Arabidopsis thaliana: one gene and its partners. The protein of the gene in region 1 purifies or fractionates together with the protein of each later gene. This does not show direct contact. Each region holds a gene or a part of one and is shown on either strand. Other genes may lie near its edges. The genes, in order: EIF4A-2, ALPHA-SNAP1 and ALPHA-SNAP2.

Evidence for each region.
Region 2: the proteins of EIF4A-2 (region 1) and ALPHA-SNAP1 fractionate together in Arabidopsis thaliana (co-fractionation; one large-scale study listed by BioGRID). This does not show direct contact.
Region 3: the proteins of EIF4A-2 (region 1) and ALPHA-SNAP2 fractionate together in Arabidopsis thaliana (co-fractionation; one large-scale study listed by BioGRID). This does not show direct contact.

Annotation. Positions count from the first base shown.
Region 1 is NC_003070.9:20,255,820-20,266,229, forward strand, and holds EIF4A-2 (eif4a-2), read left to right. Parts: upstream 1-3,727; 5' UTR 3,728-4,143; intron 4,144-4,491; exon of another isoform or gene 4,492-4,579; intron 4,580-4,674; 5' UTR 4,675-4,675; coding exon 4,676-4,743; intron 4,744-4,829; coding exon 4,830-4,933; intron 4,934-5,042; coding exon 5,043-5,473; intron 5,474-5,563; coding exon 5,564-6,199; 3' UTR 6,200-6,447; downstream 6,448-10,410. Other genes in the region: NRPB8A (RNA polymerase Rpb8), read left to right, coding at 206-297, 405-516; AT1G54260 (winged-helix DNA-binding transcription factor family protein), read left to right, coding at 1,521-1,537, 1,613-1,697, 2,334-2,417, 2,565-2,658, 2,850-2,932, 3,045-3,243, 3,326-3,357; AT1G54280 (ATPase E1-E2 type family protein / haloacid dehalogenase-like hydrolase family protein), read right to left, coding at 6,947-7,642, 7,736-7,927, 8,012-8,110, 8,198-8,323, 8,411-8,620, 8,714-8,801, 8,913-9,001, 9,089-9,365 and 2 more. UniProt on the Arabidopsis thaliana protein: ATP-dependent RNA helicase which is a subunit of the eIF4F complex involved in cap recognition and is required for mRNA binding to ribosome.
Region 2 is NC_003074.8:20,928,747-20,933,369, forward strand, and holds ALPHA-SNAP1 (alpha-soluble NSF attachment protein 1), read left to right. Parts: upstream 1-1,810; coding exon 1,811-2,219; intron 2,220-2,513; coding exon 2,514-2,614; intron 2,615-3,064; coding exon 3,065-3,216; intron 3,217-3,237; exon of another isoform or gene 3,238-3,455; coding exon 3,456-3,606; intron 3,607-3,703; coding exon 3,704-3,751; intron 3,752-3,838; coding exon 3,839-4,123; downstream 4,124-4,623. Other genes in the region: ATG18D (autophagy 18 D-like protein), read left to right, coding at 1-51; AT3G56460 (GroES-like zinc-binding alcohol dehydrogenase family protein), read right to left, coding at 4,283-4,378, 4,453-4,596.
Region 3 is NC_003074.8:20,842,844-20,854,019, reverse strand, and holds ALPHA-SNAP2 (alpha-soluble NSF attachment protein 2), read left to right. Parts: upstream 1-5,324; 5' UTR 5,325-5,663; coding exon 5,664-5,808; intron 5,809-6,260; coding exon 6,261-6,310; intron 6,311-6,396; coding exon 6,397-6,469; intron 6,470-6,564; coding exon 6,565-6,644; intron 6,645-6,875; coding exon 6,876-7,027; intron 7,028-7,257; coding exon 7,258-7,417; intron 7,418-7,514; coding exon 7,515-7,562; intron 7,563-7,650; coding exon 7,651-7,731; intron 7,732-7,820; coding exon 7,821-7,901; 3' UTR 7,902-8,346; downstream 8,347-11,176. Other genes in the region: AT3G56210 (ARM repeat superfamily protein), read left to right, coding at 1-25; AT3G56200 (Transmembrane amino acid transporter family protein), read right to left, coding at 2,241-2,361, 2,458-2,923, 3,021-3,224, 3,313-3,465, 3,570-3,933; AT3G56180 (LURP-one-like protein (DUF567)), read right to left, coding at 8,472-8,606, 8,693-8,923, 9,001-9,255; CAN (Ca-2+ dependent nuclease), read right to left, coding at 9,701-9,799, 9,894-10,122, 10,210-10,266, 10,372-10,559, 10,647-10,757, 10,857-10,971, 11,060-11,115.

The DNA of each region.
Region 1 (10,410 bases):
GGATATAACTGTTAATGCTGCTAAATGGTTGATATTATAACTCTGTTGGCTGATTCGAGAAGCCTGTCTATCTAGGAATAAGAGGAGACATGGAATTTTAACAAGCTTTAGTTCTTGAATCTTCAAGATCTAAATTTGAAAACCAAGAATGTGTATGCATATCTAAACATTAATCTTATCTAGTTTTCATCTCGATACATTACAGGGAGCAAAGAAAACACTTGCCGATAAGTATGAATACATAATGCACGGGAAGCTTTACAAGATCTCTGAGCGTGACGGCAAAACTCCAAAAGCGTAAGAATCCCATATAACCCCCCCATATCAAAATAATTCAATCCAATTCAACTCACATATCAAACCATCATGTTTTATTTTATTTTCTTTAAATTATGTGTTTCCAGAGAGCTATATGTTTCGTTTGGCGGCCTCCTGATGTTGCTTAAGGGAGATCCAGCTCACATTTCTCACTTCGAACTCGACCAGAGGCTCTTCCTACTCATGAGGAAGCTGTGAGGTGCCATTTTTTCGGATAAAAACTGAATTAATAGAGAGCTTGATCTAATGTTTAACTTTTACTACTTCAACTCTTGCAATTTTCATGAAGCAACTCTTGTGCAAAAGCAAGTTTTTCCGTTCCGTTTTAAATCCCATTCCACAAATTGACTGCTCCGGTCCGGTGAAATGTACTATTTGTAGCTCTAAGCTATTGATGAAGATAAGCAATTGAGACCAAGAACATAACAAAAAACACAGACAAAGACACAGTTTTTTTTTTGGTCAAGGACACAGTTTTGTTTCTTCTCTAACCAATTTTCACTACACTCTTATCTTCTAACAACAATATGAAGCAATAAAGCTCGAAAAATAGATTCTGAGCCAAAAATAGAGTGTTTTCTCTAATCCATGCTTGTGTTTTCTCTAGTCCATGTTTGTGTTCTTGCTTCTTTGAGACTGGGAGAATATATCTTGGACGGTCGAGATTAGTCTTAAAAATTCTGAACAGATCAAGATTTAATTTTAAATCTGTATAGTGGGCCATGTTTAGGCCCAATAAAAGCTTTTGATGAGGCCTTCTAAATGGTATATATTTCGACTTGAAGAGAAAGAAAAAACAACTAGAAAATCGGAAGAATAAATGGACGGTGGAAGAAGGAAGCCCTTCTCGCCGGACTAGCCAAGCACGGTTCCGGAAAATGGACAAGTATTTTAGACGATCCAGAGTTCGCGGCTCAACTTCTAGATCGCACAAACATTAACCTCAAGGTAATCGAAAATTCCCAAAATCCCATTCGTCTTCCATGGAAATCGATTTTTGAGATTTATTATGTGGAATTAGGTCGAAATTTGGGTATTAATGTTGTATTGTTTATTCTTATTGCCCAAATTTCAAGGATAAATGGCGTAATATAAAGAAATCAAGGACACAATCACTCGAATCTACCTCCATTTTCACTTCACCTTCAGAGACTTCTCGTTCTGTTGTTAGCTATGAGGCTTCTCCTAGTAGTTCATCTGATATGAGCAATGATGCTAGGTTTGTTATATTTAGAGATTTTTTAGAATTGGTATGTTCTAAGTTCTAACAGGTTCTTCTTTACCTTGTTGCAAGGTATGATGCGATGGTTTTTGAGGCTGTATCAACAATTAATGATGAAAATGGTTCCAATCTCAAAGAGATTCTCAGATTTATCGAGGTGAAGAGGATATATACATTGAAGTCCTTTGTGTTTTTCATGGTTTATATTTGACATTCATTAGTCAGTTTATCTCAATTTCTTGTCATAGTTATTTCCTTGGGTTTCATTATACTCTCTTCTCTGAATACAGAATGCTAAGTTTTCACCTGAAATGAGTCGATAGATTGTGTAGTCTGAAGTGAGTCAATAGTAACTGATCACAATGGACAGAACATAAGGATTTTTAGGATAGTTATCTGACAATTAGTTGGTAACTTCTGAGGTTGTAGATATATGTAGTGAGTATTCTAACACAACCATGATGACTGCAAACACTCTGATACCATTGGAATAGCATTACTAACTGCTGTTGGAACCTCTTTGTTGCGCCGCCCAGGTTACTGAAATTCATACCCAGGAAACTTGTGGTTTCATTTTTCCTCCTTATAACATTTGACTCCAAGCATGAATCCTTTTTATCACCAATGCTGCTGCATTACATTCTCTTATTACTGTTTCTCTATTGTATCCTGGTTCAAGCTTTGAAAAATATCATTTGGATAAACTCTTATATTTACGTTCAACCTTAACATCAAGAATATGAATTACATTGAATCCAGTTGGAAGTTAATCTTTGTGGTTTATCAATTGCAGGGACAACATGAGGTTCCACAAAACTTTAAGAAACTGTTGAGTTATAGCCTGGGAATCCTTGTTTCTCAAGACAAACTCAAAAAGGTAACTAGTGTTGTTTTTCTTAATGCGCGGTTTGTCACAAGCCTATCTACTTTTCTCCATACCCCCAATATCTATATGACAAGATGTAGTAATAATAAACCTGAGTTATATTATATGATAAACTCAAAAATTACTTTATAAATGCAGGTACGAAATCGTTACAAAATCTCAGTTACGAAAGCAATTAAGCCAACACTCACCCTGCGTCCAAAAGATTCCACGAAGCCACCAGAGTTACCAAGTACTTCTGTGATATTAACATCAAAAGAAACACATGAGATAGACCCAGCAGCAAATAGAGAAGCAGAAGGAATGAATGAGTTGGCAAAAGAAAACAACGTAATCTTACTCCTTTTAATTACATGTTGCTCATCCAATTTACAGTATCATAGCAACAAAAGATATGATCCCTTGTGGTTGATCAATTTCAAGACTGGTACGAGGAGCAACAAGACTTTAGGATGTTTTTGAGTGAGTGCCTGATAATTCTCGTTTCTCAAGGCAAACTGGAAAAGGTATATTTTTCTTAATTGCTCAGCTATTTATTGATGCATCATCATCTATCTATAACAAGATCATTTGTAATTCTTATGATTGATTAAAATCAGAAAATCTCCCAAATTGCAGGTATTGGATCGCTACAAGATATCAGAATTAGAAAACAAAGTGTTGGAAGTAGCACCAGAAGTTGTAGCAATGAAACTAGCAGAGTCAGATAACAAAAGGTTGATAGCAGCAGAGGCAGTCGAAGAAGAAGAACGAATGCACAAGTTAGTAGAAGAAAGCCACACGATGCTTCAATTATGCTTAGAGATCCACCAACAATGTAATCTCAACAAAACTCACATGGTACATCAATCCATCATCATCACCATGATCATCACTGTCTTTTGCTTTGTTTCTTGCAGGTGCTCTTGGCCAAGAGGTTGTTCTACTGTAAAAGAAAACCAAGTATCTATCTAGTTTGCTTCAATCTATATTTTACTTAACTAACCACTTGAGTTTTGTTTTTGTAGTTCTTAAACACAGGTTTATATGGTTGTAATGGTGAACTAATGTTCACTGTTTTGTTCATAAAAAGATAGCTTTTTTTTTTTTTGCTAAAAAACAATGACGTGTCTATGGAGTCTTGTGAATGCTTTGCTACGTCATAAAGCATCAAAAGGTGCTGGAAAGAATAAGCTTTTCCAAAAGAAAATTTGGTCTTTTTTTCTAATTAAAAAGTTTGGTATTGGCGTATGGAAGTACAACACTACTACTCATATTTCCACTTGAAAACAACATTTTGTGATTGTGATTTGATATTTTCTGGTGTGTGTTAGTATGCAATTGCGATTCATTATTCATAGTCTCTTTTGACATTGGTGTAAAATAACTTGATTGGTAACAATATTTTCCCTACTAGTTTAGGAAAAGTATAAAGAGGTGAGAAAAATCTCAAATCGAAAAGGAAGAGGAAAGTGGGGGTAAAGTTGGAAATATAAAAATTTTGGAAAAGTAGAACAATTAGAAAGAGGAAAACCCTAAAAAAAAAAAGAGGGGGACTATATAACTGGCTAACACGTATTGGGTTGAGTCTCTCTCTACCTCAATTTATATTATTTGCTTCAATCTTCTCTTTATCGCTCCACCAGATCCAAGTTCGCGAGATTTCAAGCTCTCTAACAAAGTTCTTCACTTTTACTCTCAAAGCTTTCATCTTTCATTCAACTACTTAAGCTCCAAGGTTCGGAAATATTTTTTTTACTTTTCTCTGCGATTTGTTCCTTTTCTTATGAACGATTGGATCTCGAGTCTGATTTACTCTCTTTGCGATGGAATTTGTTCTGGGTCGTTTTCAAAATTGACGCTTGTTAATCTATAATTCGTCATCGGATTCAATTAGTCCGTGAAACCCTTCAATTCGTTTATCTCAAATCGATTTGGGTTAGGTTTTGATTTCGACACTTATGTTAAAATCATCCAAAGCTTTTATCTTCGATTTTGGACAACTTTGTGTATATTATATGCTTTCATGGAGAGATAGATGTTTTTGAATGGTATCTGTTATGATAATTGGATGAACCATATTTCCTATATCTCTCCTGACATCGAATAATTCAGATATTAATGCTTGTGTTCCTCTCTATATGGAACTTCAAGTTTGGCTATTCTGTTACATTCTTACTTTTGCACAACTCTCTCTGGCTATAAGATTTAAGAATCATCTCTAGCTATCTGGGTTCTAAACTATTGTTTCTTTTGTGTATTGTTGTAGTATGGCAGGATCCGCACCGGAAGGAACACAATTTGATACGCGTCAGTTTGACCAGAGGCTGAATGAAGTGTAAGTCCTAAGATCTTTAGTTTCATTACTCGTTTTTGATGAGATTTTTTTTGTATTTGCTAATCTTATTGTTTGTTTGGGTGCAGTCTCGATGGACAGGATGAGTTCTTCACCTCATATGATGAGGTCCATGAGAGCTTTGATGCCATGGGTTTGCAAGAGAATCTTCTTAGGGGTATCTATGCTTACGGTAAGTGAAGAAGGTTTAAAGAAACAACCTTTTGTTTGTTATGTTGGGATTCCTATTAACTTTATCGTATGTGCTCTTTCCTGTGATTGATTGGTTGATTTTTTTCTAGGTTTCGAAAAGCCTTCTGCTATTCAGCAAAGAGGAATTGTACCCTTTTGCAAGGGTCTTGATGTGATCCAGCAGGCACAGTCTGGTACTGGAAAAACCGCCACTTTCTGCTCTGGTGTCTTGCAGCAGCTTGACTATGCCCTTCTCCAGTGCCAGGCTCTCGTTTTGGCTCCCACCAGAGAGCTTGCTCAGCAGATTGAGAAGGTCATGCGTGCCCTTGGTGACTACCAAGGTGTCAAGGTTCATGCCTGTGTTGGTGGAACCAGTGTCCGTGAGGATCAGCGCATTCTCCAGGCTGGTGTTCATGTTGTCGTTGGAACTCCCGGTCGTGTTTTTGACATGCTTAGAAGACAATCTCTCCGCCCTGACTGCATCAAGATGTTTGTCCTTGATGAAGCTGATGAAATGCTCTCCCGTGGTTTCAAGGATCAGGTTTGTTATCTTCTTCAAAGTTTGAATCTACCCTCTGTGGTTATCTCTGATATTGACTTGGTTTTGTGTTGTTTTCTGGTGAATTTGCAGATCTATGACATATTCCAGCTTCTCCCACCAAAGATTCAGGTTGGAGTGTTCTCTGCGACAATGCCTCCGGAAGCTTTGGAGATCACAAGAAAATTCATGAGCAAACCAGTGAGAATCTTGGTGAAACGTGATGAGCTCACACTTGAAGGTATCAAGCAATTCTACGTGAACGTGGAGAAAGAAGACTGGAAGCTTGAGACTCTCTGCGATCTCTACGAGACTCTAGCCATCACTCAGAGTGTCATCTTTGTCAACACTCGTCGCAAGGTCGACTGGCTCACAGACAAAATGAGAAGCCGTGACCACACAGTCTCAGCAACTCATGGAGACATGGACCAAAACACCAGAGACATCATCATGAGAGAGTTCAGGTCTGGCTCGTCTCGTGTTCTAATCACAACCGATCTCTTGGCTCGTGGTATCGATGTGCAGCAAGTCTCTCTAGTCATAAACTTTGACCTCCCAACTCAGCCAGAGAATTACCTTCACCGTATCGGAAGAAGTGGAAGGTTCGGGAGAAAGGGTGTGGCGATTAACTTTGTGACTCTTGATGATCAGAGAATGCTGTTTGATATTCAGAAATTCTACAATGTGGTTGTTGAGGAGCTTCCCTCAAACGTGGCTGATTTGCTGTGAAGAAGAAGAAGAAGAAGAAGAAGAAAGGTTGCTTGTTTCGCAAATTTCTTATTTGATTTTTGACCCGTCTCTCTCTCTCTGAATCATCGATACATCTTTTTCATTCTCTAGTATTCTTCATCAACTCTATCGAACATATATATGTCTCTTCTGACCATATTTCTTTTTTATCAAATGCAATATTTATTTCTTCTCTTGTATGATCCAAAAATCTTTCGTAATTACAAGTCTATTCACAGCAATTCTATACCTGTTTTTACTGTTTCGGATGTCACTTACATAGAAATCTTTCACTGGGGTCATGTGCGATTATATAATTCCTAACATTAAGAAGTGGTCAAGAGCTTTAGTTCATATCTTTGAAAACAGTTTCTTTTTCAATTTCGGAAGTAAGAGTACTTAAGCTTTTCCATGCTAATCTTTTTTTGTGAATCCATTTGTAAAAAGGAAAAAATGTCAACTATTTGTCAAACTTGTCTAATCAGCAACATATCTTTTTTCTTCTTTTCATTAGTACTAGTGTACATACACACACACAGACAAACACAAAATACAACATTCCCCTCTTTCTTCTACCATTGTCTAATTGTATAAACCATAAGATTAGTAAGAAAATAAAATAAGAGTCTCTCTTTCTTTCATCTAACTTGAATCCAACTTTCTCCATCTGATGATTTCCCGAAGAAAAAATCACAGAAATATATATGAAGTGGTTAAACAAAACATACTTGGTCTTAATCATCAAGTCTATTGTGAGTTTGAAGAAGGTGTATCATTAGACGATGTTCCACTCATAACACTTAACACCGAATGCTTCCTTTGAAGCCTGCCTCTTAGCTGCCTGATCTTAGCATCAACTCGAGCCGTGAACCCAATCTTTGTCTTCTCTCTCGCCTTTGACTTCTCTCGTTTCCACATTCGCTCATCCTCTACATCGATCCTGAAATGTTTGATCTCTTGTATAATGTGATGGTCAAGAGGGTTCACTGATCTTTGGTATGAAATGTGGAACAAGTAAGGTAGCGTTGTGGCGGCAATGACCAGAAGTGAAGTAAGCCAGAAGATGGGTGCAGGGGCAAGAATCTCGACGAGCATGTGAAAGATGTTACCAGAGAGTTTTACTGGTAACATACCGTAAAGAGCGAGGAAGACGTACCAAGCTCCTATGCTTCCCCAAATCATTACGTGTTGGATCCAAGTGAAGTGACTCATGGTTAGAGCTATTTGAACATTTACTGCCCATATGATGCATGTGAACATTGCGGTTCCCATGGCATTCATATCTGCGGTTTGGCCATCTGAGCGGAATGATTGAACATGGAAGATTCCAAGGTTGAGTGTAAAGATGACTATGGATGCATAAACTCCATTCCCCATCCATCCAAGGATTCTGTACCAGTCGAAGAACAGGTTCTTGGGGCCTTGTTGATACAATGCAGGGAACTAGATAAAGAAAACAGGCCAAGAAATGAATCAAGATCCAAAAAGAAGGTTTTGTTATATATGTGAAAGATGATGGAGAGGACTTTATATAACCTGTAAGCAGACATCAGAAGGAACATCTTGTTCAAAAACTCCGAGGGAAATGACCGGGAGAGAAGTGAGAACAACGTTGAAGAGTAGTAAGTAGGAGTCGTTGTATATTGATTGACCAGAAAATCCGGTAAAGCATTCGAAGTAGAAGAGAGTCAGACCAAAGGTTATGTTCTTGTAGAAGAAATAACAAATCTGTGAAACCAACAATGACGAATCAAGATCAGGTATATATATAGATATTTGTTTTCTGGTGAGTTATATCAATGCATATATTACCATCTGGGCTATTCGTTTGTAGCACCAATGTCCGTGGACAACAAGTAGTCTCTCAAGAAACCGAAACTGGGCTATGGAGAAGTCACTTGCCATTACTGCCTGCAAAGAAACAGAACCAACTACTCTCAGAAAAACCAACAAAACTTAACCATGTCTCATTGTGCTGAAGAAAAGTTTTTAAGCAACCTGCATGCCTTCAACGCCACTGATGCCAACACCAATATCAGCTTCTTGAATCATTCCAACATCATTTGCACCATCACCAATTGCCAAAGTTGTTTTTCCTGTTCCTTCTTTGGCCAGCCTTGTTACCTACAAAAACCAAGATAAACAAAATATGGCATATGTAATATTCTGAAACCAAGAAAGATGTTTTGAGAATTGTGGAACTATTCTTACAAGTGCTTTCTGTTTGGGAGAGACACGACAGCATATCACTGATGCACAGTCAACTGCAAGGGCAAGAAACTGATACTTGACATCATCCTTCAAAGCATAGGTAAGTGTTTTTCCATCAATGATCAAAGCAAATGCTGCATGTGGATCCTTTTCAATTTTAATCATCTGTGAAGCATTTGTGATCTGCATCAAAATGCTCTCCTTTGCAGCCTGACCATTAACAAGTTTTGTTATCACATGCAAGTTTCTACTGAAACAGCTGTAAAAGTTGGTTTTTAATTATAGCATCGACAAAATACATACAGCTTCAGAGTTTTGTGATGATTCCTCCACATTTGTAAGTGAAATGGATATCTGCTTCATACCCTGTCGTAGTAAACTGCAGGCATATCTGCATTGGGATCAACCAAAGAACTCAATTAGTCCACTTAGTTTTAGAAATGTATCTAGTCAGAAACAGTTTAGGAGTCTGTGGTATTATCAGTAACAATGAAGAACAAACCCTATGTTTATTGCTGTCTCCATCTTATCTCCTGTCAAAACCCATATTTTGAGACCAGCTTGGGCAAGGTTATCTATGCATTGAGGCACCTAAAGTGAGATACAAACAGTAAGTTGAAAATGATTTTGGAAAGGCTGTTTCTCAGTTATAATCATATTTTGAACTATGCTACATACCCCTTTTTGCAGTTTGTCCTCCACAGCAGTAGCTCCAACAAGGATCAATTCCTTCTCCATCATATCTGAAACCTTCTCGAGCATTTCATCTCTATCAGCTCCAACTGAAGTTTTGGCTTTGTGAAATTCACTGTTCCATGCTGCATACTCGGTCTCATCTAGCTTTCTGTAACCAAGTGCCAATGTGCGTAAACCCGCTTCACCATATACATTCAAGTGCTTTGAAGTAGCTCCAAGATACTCTTTCCCACTCTTTGATAAACGTTCAAATATAATGCTGCAGGCAAAAAGCATTAAATTGTGGTTAGAAGAAGTGAGAATTAAGCAACTGGGAATGGCTTGAAGTCATGCAATCAAACCTGTCAGCGCCTTTACATAGTAGAAGAATCTGCCCTTCTTCATCTCTGACAATGGCAGACATTCTTTTTCTTTTGCTAGTGAAGTCTAACAGATTCAAGATTTTGTATTCTCTGTAAAATAACCTCCACATGAATAGACATCTATATGCAAAGAAAGATCAATGAAATATTTTTGAAAGATTTAAAGCTCACCTATCAACTGGTTGACCTGAAGATGAAAACCGTTCAGCAATAAAAACACTAGATTGAGTTCTCTTAGTAAATTCAAAACCAAACTCCCTAGAAGCAACAAGGAAAGCAACTTCATCAGGAGACTCAGCTTCATAAGTACACATTCCAGTATCTTCATCCACCTCAGGAATAGCTGTATGACAAACCGCCAGAATACGGAAAAACATCAAAATGTCATCTGAATTTGGCTCATTTAACCAGTTTTCATTCATCAAACGGTTATCTTCAAAACTAAACCCCTTAACACCAGTGTTCTGCTTCTGATCCTTTTCGTCGCTAGCAGTGACTACTGTCTCCAATTCAAAATCTGATGACGTCTTGCTAGCCAATTTTGCATACCGTTGTGTCCTGCCTTTATTCATAGAAAGGTTTGCAACTTCTTCACCTTTCTCCTCAAGATCCATTGCCATCTGCTTAGCAGCAGCTAGTTCCACTTCACTAGCACGGACACCGTAAGAAGTCCCCGCAATAGAGCATTTCAGAAAGTCCATCTGGTTACATGTCAAAGTTCCTGTTTTATCAGAAAGGATAGTATCAACTTGTCCCAGCTCTTCATTTAAATTCGAGGTGCGTGCTTGAGCCGGAGTCCCACTCTCACTATCATACAACTGCAAGTCTTGATTTATAAAATGTGCTTGCAAGACTTTCACTACCTCAATGGAAACATACAATGAGATGGGAATCAAGTATCCATAAAGTAACAGAGCAGTGATCAAATGAACAACCCACGCA
Region 2 (4,623 bases), on another chromosome or scaffold:
ATGACTCAGCTTGAACATTTCCATTTTCTGAAGCAAGATAGCCCGAGATAGTCAGACCACGTGCTTGGTTTGAGTTTTATGTACATAACAATTGGCTCTGTATATAGATTTGGTGAAACCGCATACGATTTTATTCTTCCAAGCTTTACTTGATTGAAGGAAAATGTATTCTTGATTGGAACAATGTATATACAAAAAGGATTTTTTTTTGGTTATAACACTAATTTCTACAGAGAATCAAACTGCAATTCGATTACGTTTATTAAAATTTCAAATCAGAATGTTGATTATAGGACAGATATAACAAATGCAAGATGGTTCAGCTTACATGGTCATTTCAAGGTTACAGAACCGGATTTCTCCATTTAATTTAAAGACTTATACATTTAATTATTAATATTTAGTAACTTTAATTTTATAGAGACAATATAGAAAATTATGCAATGGAGATGCTTTAAAAGTATTAGGTGCCAGAGTTAAAAAAAAAAAAAAAGTATTAGGTGCCTTGTCGTCACCAGATTCCATTGGATTTTACGACTTTTTGTTAAACTCACAAGTCGCTAGCTTGTGGTTTAAGCAATCTTTTTTTTTTTATATAAAATTTACATATATTAAAAATTTTATGTGGTTTTTTTTTACATAATAGTTAATGATGCATTAAATTTAAGCAATTTTAATGATGCATTGATTTTATTAATTCCCCTTGCTCAAAATACTTTCTATGGTGTGATTAACACAAATTATATTATTATTCTTTTAGAAATTTTTGCTTGTAAATGCTAGTTTTGATTGCATTATTATTCTTTTTTCTTTTACGTCATTTACGAGAATTTTCAATTTTGTTTTATCAAAAATTTCTAATTGAATATTTGATGTTGCACATAAACTGACCGTGATACATGTGCTTGTTCTGTATATAGATTTGTTGAAATAACACTAGAGTATGCTACCAATGTTACGGATCACGGTCTCCAAGCAATTGGTAAAGGATGCAAAGAATTAAAACATCTTGAAATACTAAACTGTCCTGTTAGTAAAACAGGTCTTATAGAAGCAGGCGAGAGCTCTTCTTCCATTAGATATCTTTACGCATCAGGTAATAAAGATGGAAAGGAAGGAGGAGTGCAATCTTTTGCACAAAATAATGATAATATATTTTCTTTTCATTTGTTGTTAAGATTCTCCGAGATCTTCTCGAGATCTTTTTTGGAAATACGATAAGATAGGCTGAATAATTCTTATTCTGAAATTTTTTGGTAATGCGAAACCTTTGTTTTATATGTTCAAGAAGAAAAGAAATATTAAGAATTTTTTTTTTGTTCAGTCACACAACTTTAGAACAAAATTATGTTAATAATTTTCTTCATTTTAAATCCAAAACTTCAAAAGTTAGAAAACATATGAAGTAAAATAAAATAAAATGTGCTAAGCTATAAATTGATTTTAGTTTACATAACAAATTCTAATTGAAACTTATTTTTTTATATCGTCAAAAAACAACAACTAAATTCTGAAAAAATATCAAAAACTCCAATTTGGAAAGTATAAATTACAAACTAACTTGTTTTATTTTATGTTTTAATATAATAGTTTAGTTGGTTTAATAATAGTAAGTGTTATTTTATTATTTTTTAAAAGGGAAGGGTTTAAAAACCCACCAAAAAATCCCTTAAATGGATGCTTAAAAATCTCTGGTCGCGGGCTTAGCCCCAGTAGACTAGTTAGATCACTGTGTGGTCTGGGCATTGAGTTATCAAAGAAAAAAAGGGAAGGGTTTAAAAACCCACCAAAAAAGTTGAGGGTTTTGTACATGTTTTTTGTAAAAGGTGAGGGTTTTTTTTACCCACTTTTCATAGAGCTGAGGAACTTGATAAGATATCAAACAACAAGAGTCTCCAACTCAAGCAGAGACTTCAATCTCTCACAACAACACTGCAGCTGTTTCAGGCCCAAAAGGAGACACGAAGCCCATCTCTCATTCATCGGAACTCTGCAATACTCAAAACAGAGAACCATCACGCGAGCCGCTTCAGCTACCATCGCTCGCCGCCAACTCTTGTTGTTGTTTGATATCACTTTCTCTTCTTCAAGCAGTTGCTACTACTTTCAGAAGAAAGCTGAGAAGAAGCTTAACAGACGGAGAAGATTCGACACTAAGTACGAGGATGCTGCTGATCTGCTCGAGAAAGCACGTGATTCCTATAAGCTTGCCAAATCATGTAATTTCCATAAATAATAATCAGCCGGCCTTGATTTTTGTTTCATCTGATTGATTTGTGATGATGATGAGGAAGAAAAGGTGAAACTTGAGACTTTTGATTGATCTTTGGTTTAGCAATTGTGGTGATCCTTCCATGGTGTTGTGAGAAGTTGATTTTAGGCCTCTTTGATATGTGGGAATTATAAATTGGATACTCAACATTTAGATTACTCGATAATGATGGTTTTTGGCCTTATAGTAAAGTCATTGATAAGTATCTTCTTGCTTATGTGTTTGATTTGTGATTCTTCAGGGGATCAAGCTGGAATAGCTTATCTAAAACTTGCCGATTGTCACTTAAAGGCAAATTCTTTGGCAAACACATATATGATAATGGACGAATGTATGGATCATGTAGCAACAGCTTTTTAGATTTTAATTGACATATATGTACTACAGGACTGATTATCAACTCTTGTGTGTTTTCCTTTCGCTATGCATGTTTATCGCGTCCAAATATAACCATGACCTTATTATATGCAGAGGCTGCATCTTGTCTAGAGAGAGCGGCGAATATATTTTGTGAGATAGATAGTAAGGCTCAACATGGCTGCAAGATATTACAATGTACTACATGTCTCTTTTGAGTATGAATTAGATACTGTTACTCTTTTAGTACGGATAGTGAGAAGATAGTTTTATTGAGGGGGAGGCACTTCTTCAGCATCTTCTCCATGGTTCGTGTTGTTTATGCATGTTGGATCCTGTCGGATTTGTTTCTTTTTTTCTACAGTATATATAGTAAGCTTGGTACTGACTTTCTGTATTTGTACTAATGTGTACATTGTCATTTACTTTTGACAGGAAATTGCTGAGTATTATGAATCTGATGAGATGTTCGAGCAAGCTATTGCTTACTATGAAACGGCAGCTGAATTCTTTCAAATAGAAGAAGTGACCACCTCTGCAAACCAGTGCAATCTAAAGGTTGCACAATATGCTTCCCAGCTAGAGCAGTAAGATTTTCGGCACCTGACCTTTTTTTGGCTTTCTCATCCTCTGGTATTGACGTACTTACAGTACTGAGATGGGACCATGTTAAAATCGAATTTTCAAACCACAAATTTGACATTGTTTGGAATAATGTTGTTGTTCTCTACACATGAGCACATGGATTATAGCCCCTTCTCTACTTTGGGGCGGATTGATTGATTGATAATAGGCTTGCTGTTGTATCTTTGATAGGTATGAGAAGGCAATCCAGATTTATGAAGACACAGGCACGCCATTCACTCAACAATAAGTTGCTTAAGTATGGAGTTAAAGGCCATCTTCTCACTGCTGGCATGTGCCACTTATGCAAAGCTGATGTTGTTTCCATCACTAATGCACTGGAGAAATATCAGGTTCTTCTTCTTCCACAGCAAACAGCCTTAACATCAGCATCCTGGCGTGGTCCTTTGAGTAACTATGACATGTGTTCTAACTTGTACTTTCTTGCAGGATCTGGATCCGACTTTTTCAGGAACACGGGAATGCAAGTTCTTAGCGGTAAAGTTTAAACTCTGGTGTTGTAAGAAATTGGGGAGTAGCTTACATAAAGTATGTTAAGTGTTGTACATTTATTCTCATGAACAGGACCTTGCTTCTGCTATCGATGAAGAAGACATTGCAAAGTTCACAGACGTTTCCAAGGAAATTGATAGCGTGAGTCCACTGGTATGGGCAGTAAACCACATGCAACTATTTGGATGTAAACTCTGTCTGGTTCTTGATCATGACAACAATGTTGTTGAGGGTAAAAGAGAAGTTCAAGGCCAGGGAGCTGGAGGAGGATGCAAGCTTTACTTGATTGAAGGAAAATGTATTCTTGATTGGAACAATGTATATACAAAAAGGATTTATAACTACACTAATTTCTAGAGAAAATCAAACTGCAATTCGATAACGTTTATTGAAATTTCAAATCAGAATGTGGATTATATGCCAGATATAAATGCAAGATGGTTCAGCTTACATGGCCATTGCAATAACCTTATTTCTAGAATACATAAGCTGTTTTCTCCTACGGCCATAAAGAGTCTATAGTTTTGAAGACAGGGCAGTCTTGTGGTCGAGAGCAATCATCACTTTTCCAATTGCCTTCCTGTCTTTGAGGTCCCCGAATGCAAGATTGGCCTGTAATCAAAACGGTAAGTGTTTAATTACATGTTTTGAGTTTTGATGTCATGAAGATGAGTTAATGTTTTCACCTGGGAGAGGCTATAGGTATGAGAGATGTGAATAGTGATCAATCCTCGGGAAAGCCATGACAATAACTCTTTGATGGAATCTTCAAGGACATTGGGCTGATGGATCCTGTAGCTACCCCAGTAAAGACCATGAACCGTCCAGTTCTGCACCAATTGGTTACTACAACTTAT
Region 3 (11,176 bases), on another chromosome or scaffold:
AAACCTCGCTGTCTCTTCCAACTGAACTACCTTTTTACGGACAAGGATAGGTCAAGAATCATAAGAGCATGTCCATTGCAGGGACCTTGCAAGTTTTTTAAGAAAATCCTTATGAATAATAGCAAAAAATTAAATCAGAATGGTGTAATAAACCAAGGTGCGAACCTTGTTTAAGGTATTTTTGGGTGTATTAGGTGCGCTGACGTGGCTGTATATTATTGGATGACAACTTTTCCCGTGTTTTTTTTTCTTTCCCATTCCCAAACTATTTTTTTCTTTCTCTCCTCTCTCCTCTCCTGTTTTCTCCGAATTTCGACTTCGACGGATCAAATTCTTCATCGTCTCTTTTTTTATCATGTCTCTCTTCTCATACGATCCACAAGATTCGTGATCGAAGAGGTGTCAGAAAATCCACCGGAAGAGCTACTCTTACCGGCTTTGCTGAGGTCAACGATGTGGCGCTGTTTTTCGGTGGATTGGTTAGAATGTTGATGCTCATAGGATCCTGCTTGTGGGTTCGTCTGCTGGTAAGGTTCTTATATGTGATTGAAGTTTTGATTTTTTTGCTCCTTTTGATGCTTAATTGTTTATCTGGGTTTAGGTTGAATTTGATTGCAAGTTAAAGTCTGGTGCTTTTGATCTGGTAATTGCTTCTTACAAGTTGATCTGTAACAATTGATTTCGAATTCAGTATATGGATTTGTATACAGATTCTGGGCTTTGCTTTATGTTCAAATTTGTGTTTGATCTTTTGGTTTTTAAGATAAAAATGTGACTCTTTTGGTGCTTATTCACTTGTATGTCATGTTATGGTCTATGTTCTCTAAGTGGTTTTAGCTTAGATAACTTGTATGTCTGTTTTCTTTACTTTAAGTTCAATATGACTTGTATCACTTCGGCTTTAATGATATTGTTGTTTATTCTTGTGTTAACGGACTAAACGAGTGTTCAGCTTAATGTGTTCAGTTTTAATAAAACTTGTCTTAATGTGATATGTTGTCTTAATCTTTAGTTTAAGTATTCTATGTTTTCTTATTTGTGAATGTTTAGTCTTCAGTGTTAGTGTGTTGTGTTTCAATATGACTTGTGTTCGTAAGAAGTTCCATATGACTTGTCTTCAGTTTTAGTTCCAATGTGACTTGTGTTCAGTTTAAGTTCCATATGACTTGTCTTCAGTTTTAGTTCGAATAAAGCTTGTGTTTAGTTTAAGTAGCAAACAAGCTTGTGTTCAGTTTAAGTTCCATATGGTTGTCTTAATGTTAATGTTCTTGTATGTCTCTTCTTAATGTTGGTTTCTTGTTTTGTTACAGACTTAAATAATGCTTCCACCTTCTCTAAATCACTCCAGTGCCGACATTACTTGTATAAAAGAGACCACATGTTTTAAGTCACCACAAGTTTGTACTTTGGTTTGAATGCTTGTACACCACAAAATAATATTCGGAAAACACTAGTTCTTATTGTGTATTCTATGACATCACTTGTATGCTAAACAATAATTTTGTTTTCATTGTTCTAAATTTTGAAGTCTCTGTATATGCATACAAAAACACTCTTCTTTTATCCACTGTTATTGTTTTAAGTATCCACTCTTCTTGTTCTCTACAACAAACCCAATAAACATTCTTCTTTCACCAAATAAACACTCTTCTTTAACCTAATACACACTCTTCCTTTTACCCAATTAACACTCTTTTTCACAAACTAAGAAAAATTTCTCACTTAAGGATTCCACTTAAGGATTCCACCATTGGACACTAAAAATTATAAAGATTCAACCAAAAACTCTAAACTCTCATTTACTTAAAATTTACTATTAAAAAATTGTAAGGAGTCCTTAATTAGGACTCCCCAATGGGGATGCTCTAAGTCTTGGTATCTTCATAATCTTAAGCTTTCGAAGGTTTGTATCATCTTTATGTTCCTCTTTTTTTCCAACTTAGAACCCTTCAATTTTTGTTCCAAAAGAAAGGAATAGTCTGATACAGATGTACTTTGTTCATTCAAATAATGGTCTACAAAAAGTAATTTAAAGAATACAAGTTTTGAAGAGTTGTTCATTTCCTCTTTCTCTGTTTCAAGCAGCAACAAAAATTGCACTTTGTATAGCTATTACATTGCATTTTCTGACAAACCTATTTCACAAAGATATAAATATGAATGCTACGGCAAGCTAATAATTTTACAGATTTCTTTGAAGTGATCATGGAAGGGACTGTTTGCAAAACTTTTTTCAACGACTAGTTTGCTGCGAGGCTGTATAAATTTGTCGAGATAGCAATAATGCTAGTGGCAACAGCAAGAACAAGCATTATTGCAGCTACGATCTTCTCTCTTGAGGTTGATACACCATGGATATTCCTGCCATTTCAGAATCAGAAAGCAGTTGGTAAGATTTTTATAGGAAGTTTGAAGCAACTGATAAAGTACATAGTAAAGGAAACAAAGCATATCTACCTTAGAACAATGGCGGCTGGAAATATGAATGCTATGGAGACTGTGATGGTTGATCCCATGAACTGAAAGAAGTACCAAATGTCTGGTACAGCGATTGCAGACAAGAAACAGCAAATCAGTAGAGCCAGAGTGAGTCCGATGAATCTTTTTGTGTCTTTTTCCAAGGACGGCTTCTTGGGGTACAAGAGTTCGTCGAGATTTGCTCTCAATGAGAAGTTCAGGAGAGGAAAGACCAGCATGAGGTGAAGCACGTAGCTGAGTCTGACAATGTCGTTGAGAAGAGAACCAATGGAAGAACCAGAGCTCTGGTCAAAGTTCACTAGAATATCCGACATAGTTGCATCTCCAAAGAGAAGGTAACCAAAGAGTCCAGTTGCGAAGTAGATAGCAGCACACAAGATGACAGAGATCTTAGTTGCTGGGATCACTTGTAATGGATCTTTGAGCTCGAATCCAATTGGATGAACTGCACATTTTGAATCACAACACCAAACTCAGAAACATGAAAAAACAGAGAAAACAGAGAAACAGTTACCAATATGGTGAAAGAGATGGGTTCTTACCATTGAAGTGAAACGTGAAGGCTGTAACTATAACAGGGGAAGCTGTGAAGAGTTGCCAGAACGATCCTCCATTGCTCAACTCCGGAAACAGTCTTGGATTCTTCGTTTGTCCATTCACCAGCGCGGAAATCGCCAGCACCGAGCTTATGACAACAAATAGAACCGCAAGAAGAAACGATACAGCGGAACTAATTGCCAGTCTTTCTACATAACCATTAACAAAAAGAAAATCATCAACAATCTCATAGATATCCATAATTTTGAGAACACAAGATTATAGAGAGAAACTTACCGACTCGTCTACGCAGGACCAATGGAAGCAAGACAAAGCCGTAGACAAATAACAAAGCGAAGATTCTCGTGTTCCACCAGTAAGAACCAAACCATTCTTGCAAAACTCCAATATGTTCAGGACCACCATTTTCATTACCAGAAAGCACATCTCCTGAGAGAGTAAACACATACAAATCCAAACTCAGCCAATCTGTTCTTAAGCTCAAATAGTAGCTGAGACCTCTACACTTAGATGATTAGATCAAATTACTTTACCTATAATAATCGAAAATATAATCATACAACCAAAAGTAGCAACCATCGTAGCAATCTGTACAGCGATGGATCCTGTTTTACCAAACGACTCTTTCATAACTCCGGCGTAAGTAGTTGATTCTCCGGCGAGAGTTGATTTCATCAGAAATCCAACGGAAATTGTGGAAAGCCAAGCTATGATCGTGATAATCAAAAACGCTGGAACTATTCCAAGAACTTTAAACGCCGCCGGCATCGACATTATTCCGGCTCCGATTATACTCGTTGACACGTTGAAAACGATGCCGGAGGTTGATGATCCATGGTTCTCAGACGAAGAAGGTTCTTGCTTCGGCAAGAGATGAGTTTTGATCTGTGGTGTCATTTTTCTAACCGCCGGAGAAACGTAAGAATTTGCCGGCGGGAAGAAGCTTTCCTTTTTTGTAGTTGTTATGAGGAATCGGCTTCATATAGCCACACGGTTAATAGCGAAAAGTACATAAATACCCTTTGAAGATTGGGGATATATGCCTTGACCGTTTGGGGCAAAATCGAGAAAATGATATTTGACCATAGGTAAACCTGACAGGCTGGGCAAATCATGTCAGTGAGATCACCAAATGATCTTTCGTCACGTACTTAAAAACATCACGAAAATAATAATTTTGTTCAAGAGAGGAAATTACAGCTAAAATATGATGAACAATCATAATCATATTATAGACAGAAGTGAATTATTAACAAAAAAACCCCAAAGAATTATACAAAAAAATCCAAAATAAAATGGGTCCGTCCAACACTAATGAATGTGTGCACTTGGATTTCTTCACGAAGAATGTATCTAGACGAAAAAGTGGCCAAATGTGTATCATCGCTTCTCATCTCATATAAGTTGTCCAAAAAAGAAAAAAACTCCTAAATAATTTAAAATTTTCGTGGATATAATAAAATCCAATATATAATCATATCATTGGCGGCCTCAAAGATGGCTCACGTGTAATAAACTAACTTTAGAGCAGACGGTTCGAGACTTTTCATCAAGAAAACGAGAGGGCAGCGAATGCGGAATGTCGAATGAATAATTGAAAACGTGATAAACGAAACAATATAAGAATAATTAAACACTGTCTTCTAAAGTTATTTTTATTTAATCATTTCATATGAATCATATTGAAGTTACTCAGTTAACATTATAGAATGTGACTGATAGCAACATTAATATTGCCGCAGAAATCCCTCGTTGCAAAGTTACAGTTTATTTTAGATCATCTCTGTGTGTAAAGGAGAAGCTTCAGTCAACAACAACAGAGCTTGGGTCAAACTCTCTGCTCAGCTCAGAGTCTCCCAAACAGAATGCTATGGGCCAAGACACTAAGCCCAATACCATTCAACATGTCGAGAAGCCCAACAACAGAAGATTACCTCTGCAACTCACAAAAGACAAAAAAATTACCGATTACCCATGAAATGATTTGCTAAAAAATTGAACATTTCATAGATTTGTAACGGTTGTTATTTAGCCATTGTTGTTATTCATGTGTTTGATATTAAAACCGATATTGTTGTTACTCATGTGTTTGATATTAAAACATACTAGGTTTTTACCAGTTTGTGCATTTTGGAACATAGGTTTGTTTAGTGGAAACTGTCAGCAATATTTGTCGTGATTTGAGAACTATAATAATGGCTAATGAAGAATGTAGAAGGACGAGCAGATATAACAGGAAATCGTTTTACTTGATAATTCATGTAAGCTTTTCTTCAATCCCAACTGATAAACCTGATCCCATATTTTCTAAGCTTGGTTAAAGCGACCCAATAACAAAGTACGGAAAAACTTTTGATTGGGCTAACTTGGGCTTTTCAAAACAAAGCCCATATTTTAAATAGACAAATTTGGCCCACTTTAGTCGGTTGAAAAATCTTTTCCCCTATCGAAGCGTGTCTCTGATTTTTCGCTCTCGATCGATTCTCGTCTCTCTCTCTTTCATCGCAGCGAATAATCCAAATCGAAAGCAATTTCTCTCGACGAAGAAAAGAGAAGCAATCGGAGTCTGTGGAGGTAAAGAAGTACACGATCAAATTTCAAGTCAGAGTTTCGGGGAAAAAAAAGGAATGGGGGATCATCTGGTGAGAGCTGAGGAATTCGAGAAGAAAGCTGAGAAAAAGCTCAATGGATGGGGAATATTCGGATCTAAGTACGAGGATGCTGCTGATCTGCTCGAAAAAGCAGCTAATTCCTATAAGCTCGCCAAATCATGTAATTTCCATAAATAAAATTTCTTTGCTTTTGATTATTGTTTCATCGGATTGGTGTCGTGTTTTTTTTTATTGTTGTTCTTTGTGATGATGAGGAAGAAAAAAAAGGTGAAATTTGAAACGTTTGATCTTAGGTTTATCAGTTGCGGTGATTTGTCTATGGTCATGTGAGAAGTAGAATTAGTATCTGGGTTTATATTAGGTCTATTTTGATCTGTAAGAAATTTATGGTTGATAATTTCATACGAAAACATTTTAAATCGGAGATTCATCATTCTGATTCCTTGATATTGGTTTCTGGCCTTCTAGCAAGTCATTGATAAGTGGCACAATTATAGTACCTAATTTGGGTTCTATTTGGCTGAGTTTAATAGGTTTCATGTTCTTTTCTGATATTTGTTTAATTCTCCAACGCTATCTTCTTACTTATGTGTTGCATTTGTGATTGTTCAGGGGATCAAGCTGGAAAAGCTTATCTAAAACTTGCCGACTGTCACTTAAAGGTTAATTCTTTGGCAACACATATATATGATACTGGACTAATGTGTGGATTGTTTGATAACATTGATTTGCATGATTGCATCTGCAGTCAGATAGCAAACATGATGCTGCTAACGCCTATGCTGAGGCTGCTAAATGCTACAAGAAAGTTGACACTAATGGTATGTATAAAGCTACTTTTGTAATTGTCATCTCTGTAATGCAAGAGTGATTATGAATTCTTATGTGTTTTCATGCGTCCTAATATTATATGCAGAGGCTGCGTCTTGCCTAGAGCGAGCGGTGAATATATTTTGTGAGATAGGAAGGCTCAACATGGCTGCAAGATATTACAAGGTACCACTTGTCTCTTTTGAGCATGAATTAGATATTATTCTTTTAGTACGGATACTGAGAAGATAGTTTTATTGGGGCACTTCTTCTGTATTTCCTCCATGGTTCCTGTTTCTTTATGCATGTTCAGTCGGATTCAGATTGTCTTTTTCCTTTTCTAAACTAAAGTAAGCATGGTGCTGACTTGCTGTATTTGGACTAATTTGTACATTAATGGTTTTTTACTTTTGACAGGAAATTGCTGAGTATTATGAATCTGATCAGAAGTTCGAGCAGGCTATTGCTTACTTTGAAAAGGCAGCTGAATTCTTTCAGAATGAAGAAGTGACCACTTCTGCAAACCAGTGCAATCTAAAGGTTGCGCAATATGCCGCCCAGCTGGAGCAGTAAGATTTTCGGCACATTACCTTTCTTTTTGCTTTCTCATCCCTTAGCATTGAAGTGCTTATAGTACTCAGATGGAACCCTGTTAAAATCGAATTGTCAATCCACAAACTTGTCATTGTATGGAATTGTGATGTTCTCTATGCAGTATGCATGAGCACAGCAATTATAGCCTTTTCTCTACTTTGGGACCGATTGATTGATAATAGGCTTGTTGTTGTATCTTTGGTAGGTATGAGAAGGCAATCAAGATTTATGAAGACATAGCACGCCATTCACTCAACAATAACTTGCTCAAGTATGGAGTTAAGGGCCATCTTCTCACTGCTGGCATGTGCCACTTATGCAAAGCCGATGTTGTTTCCATCACTAACGCTCTGGAGAAGTATCAGGTTCTTCTTCTTCCACAACAAACACCCGTAACATAAACATTCTGGTGTGGTCCTTTGAGCAACTATGACATGTTTTCTAACTTCTACTTTCTTGCAGGATCTGGATCCAACTTTTACTGGAACACGGGAATGCAAGTTCTTAGCGGTAAAGTTTAAACTTCCGTTTTTTCAAGAAGTTGTGGAGCAGCTTACATAAAGTATGTTAAGTTTTGTACATTTATTCATATGAACAGGACCTTGCTTCTGCTATCGATGAAGAAGACATCGCAAAGTTCACAGATGTTGTCAAGGAGTTTGATAGCATGACTCCACTGGTATGGGCTGTAAACCATATACAGCTATTTGAATAAAATCTCTCTTTAACTCTACCTGGTTCTTGATCATGGAATTGGTGTTAATGCAGGATTCATGGAAGACAACCATGTTGTTGAGGGTGAAGGAGAAGCTCAAGGCCAAGGAGCTAGAGGAGGATGACCTTACATAGACATATTTATCCAGAGCGTTGCTTTTTATTCATTCCCGGGTTGTATTGTCACTATGTCCGTTACTTCATGTCCGACTCTTCTTTGATTTTATTGTGTCTGGTTTTGAGTTTTAAAGTTTCTTAAGAGGTTTGGTCAAATTGGGTTTGTTTGGTATCGACGTCTACAATTGTTCTCTGCGTCTCGTCACTTCATTTATGGGAACTACTCAAGTCTGGAGTTTTTTTTATATTGGTTAAACATCTGTGGAGAGTCTTCTTCGTTCAGCGATTATTTGATGCATCGAGAGGATCATGTCTCGATTATTTGTTTGCTTTTACGTCTACATCTATCTAATAAACGTGTGCTTTTTCTTCCTGTTAACGACAATTTGTAGTGTTTTGATTCATGTTTTCTTGCTCTATATATCTTTGATTGCACGCTTTTATGAAAAATAAACATTTGGGCCAGCAAGATTGCACATTACATGGAAAAAATATTCTTACATACATATATCTTGAGAAATGAACACATATACACCAATAAATTGTGAAAGGAACCACTAAACAAAGAGATTGAGGACAGACAATATACTAACACCAATTCTCGTTGTCATCGACCATGACAAGCAAAGCAATGATAAAAGCATAATCAACCTCTGGATTTACTCTCACCTTAAAGTTATATTTCCCTTTGCAGAAACTTCCCCATGTAAACTTATGTGTTACCTGCAATATAAGGATTTCAATCCTTCACCAATGTATAAAAATTGCAAATTTCTTAATAAGTATGGGTTTTTAACTTTTACCCCTACCCCGGCGATGAGAGCATCCGCTTTGAAAACTTTGAATGAGATATTGGAGTATCCTCCTGAAGCATGAAAATCACAAGTGTTTGTCTTCTTGACATTGTTGTTCTCCGGCAAGAAAACATCCACGGATGTTTTCAGTGAAACCGCTTGAGATTGTTGTACCGTGAAGAGCAAGTCTTCTCTCTCTTTGCTCTCTCCTCCATGCACTTCCCACTTGTTCTTCAACGCAAGTCCCTAAACAATCATACACCATTTCAAGAAAGAGTCATTTTTATATGTATGTTTGTTGAAAAATTAAAATGTTTTGTAACCTTTTGACGCATTGAGAGGATTGTGAAACCGGCTGGATCACGCATAACTCTTTTACGGTTAAACCCCCAAGCTTGTCCATCAATTTGTAGGAGCAGATTCCCACTTGGATCAAACACTTCATAATAATCTTTAGAAAAATTCTGAACTTTTCTCTTCACCAAAAGATCCATTGGGTATGGATTACAGAATTGATCGCTCACTACGCTTATCGCGGGATCTCCTACTTGCCATTCTGTTTTTTTATTCTTCGGCATTTTCGAATAAAGTTCAAGAAGAAGACGAAGAAGAAGATTGCAAAAGACTATGAAAGGCTCTTTATTTAGAGCCCTTGATAATCCTCCTGATGATGAAGAATTATCAAAAACACCTCTTCACATTTTCTTAAAACAATATATCAACTAAAAACAAATTTGAAATTGTAAGATTGGTTTTTACTTTTTCAGACTTTTATTCTCAACCAAAGATTGTTAAACCCCAAAAATAAACTATGTACCCTTATATTTAGAAACGAAACAACTAAGCTAACTTCTGTCTCAAGGTTCAAAGAGAAATTCTCTATTGCCAAAAAAATACTTGTCAATACATAAAACATATACATACTTCTCTTACAATTACAACAACAGATCACAAGTTCTTTAATTCACAATAATCATATAATCGAATAGTATTGTATTGTTGTTTTTATTGGTTTTGTTATCATTAATTGCCTCCACGTTTGTTCTTTCTCCACTCCCATGGCTTCTCTGGATTAGAAGATGCCCACAAGCCAACGCGCTTTTGCCTAGCCTCATTTTCCCACTGAATTCAAAACACCAAAACAAACCGTTAAACATCAGAAGGAATAATCAAAGAAAATTGTAAATGAAAAGCACAAAGGTTTATAAAAGCTTGCCTTTGCGAGCTCTGCACGCTTGTCATAGGCTACATAATGCCAAGCAAGACCTTTCTTTAGCATTACTTCCTGTACAAATTTTCCATTGCAGTATATATCTCCTACACATCTTCCATAACGATCCTCTGTATATACTAACACCTTCAAGCATTTCCCTTCAACCATCTTGAGTAGCTCATCATGCGCCTCTTTTCCATACGGCATTTTGCTCTCCGGTGAATCTATTCCGCTGATTCATTTTCATTCCAAATTTTTAACTCTACATATAGCTTTTGATTGAATATGAGGTTCTCTCTAGAGTGGAAGAGTGTTTTACCTTAGTCTAATTCTGAACTTTTTAGCAAGCACTTCCTCATTCTGAAAACTTATCATCCTAAGTATAACATGAAAAAAAGGTTAGGAAAAATTATGAATTTCGTAGATCAATTTTGATTTGACTTTATAATCAACTTGTGAAGTATATCAATAAAACACAAACCTGTAACCAGAAGCTATGATCGTCTTGTGAAGTGCATCTGCTTCAGTATAATTCTTCTTCTCACGCGCTTTGGCTCTTTTAACCGCTGCAAGACTCACGTCCTTAGGAAGAGAAGATGACACAAGCGGGTCTTTGCTACTAACATACACAGTAACAGTATCACCATCTGCCACAGATTTTGTATCCACCTTATTTCATTTAGAAAATTTCTTGATCAGCAGCAACAACATTACCATCATATCCCAAACCTTTTAAAGATTCGTAAGTTTTCTAACCGGAAGCGTGTTAAGCTCAAACCGAACTCCTTTAGGTAAAGACACAGGAGCTTCCGTAGGGACCTCAACGAGATTGTGAGGTGAAGGTAGTCCATAGAAAGACAAAAGTCCCTGTCAATGCCATTAACAAGTCAACTATATCAATAATGCATCCTCCAAAACTCCTTGACATTTTTGCAACTTGAAAGAACCATCATGATTAGTTAATACCTCAACATCTGCTTTTTGATGGTTCTTTAGAGCCGCGATAACAAGCCTGGAGGCTTCCTCAGGAGTTTTAGGCCGAGGCTTAGCTTGCTTCCATGCCTCAAGTATTTTTCTATACCTTCAAATTAAAACATGTTTTGGAAGAAAAAGACATTAAAATATGAACATTTTCAAATCTTTATAGACAACATTAGCATGATCTGTACCAGTTTGCTTGAGCCTTTTGGGAAGACACAACGTAACTCCCAAGCTTCTCAGGAACCTAGAATAAAATGAATCTTTAGATCCTGATCAATCTCTTAAGCAAAATTTTAAATGAATCT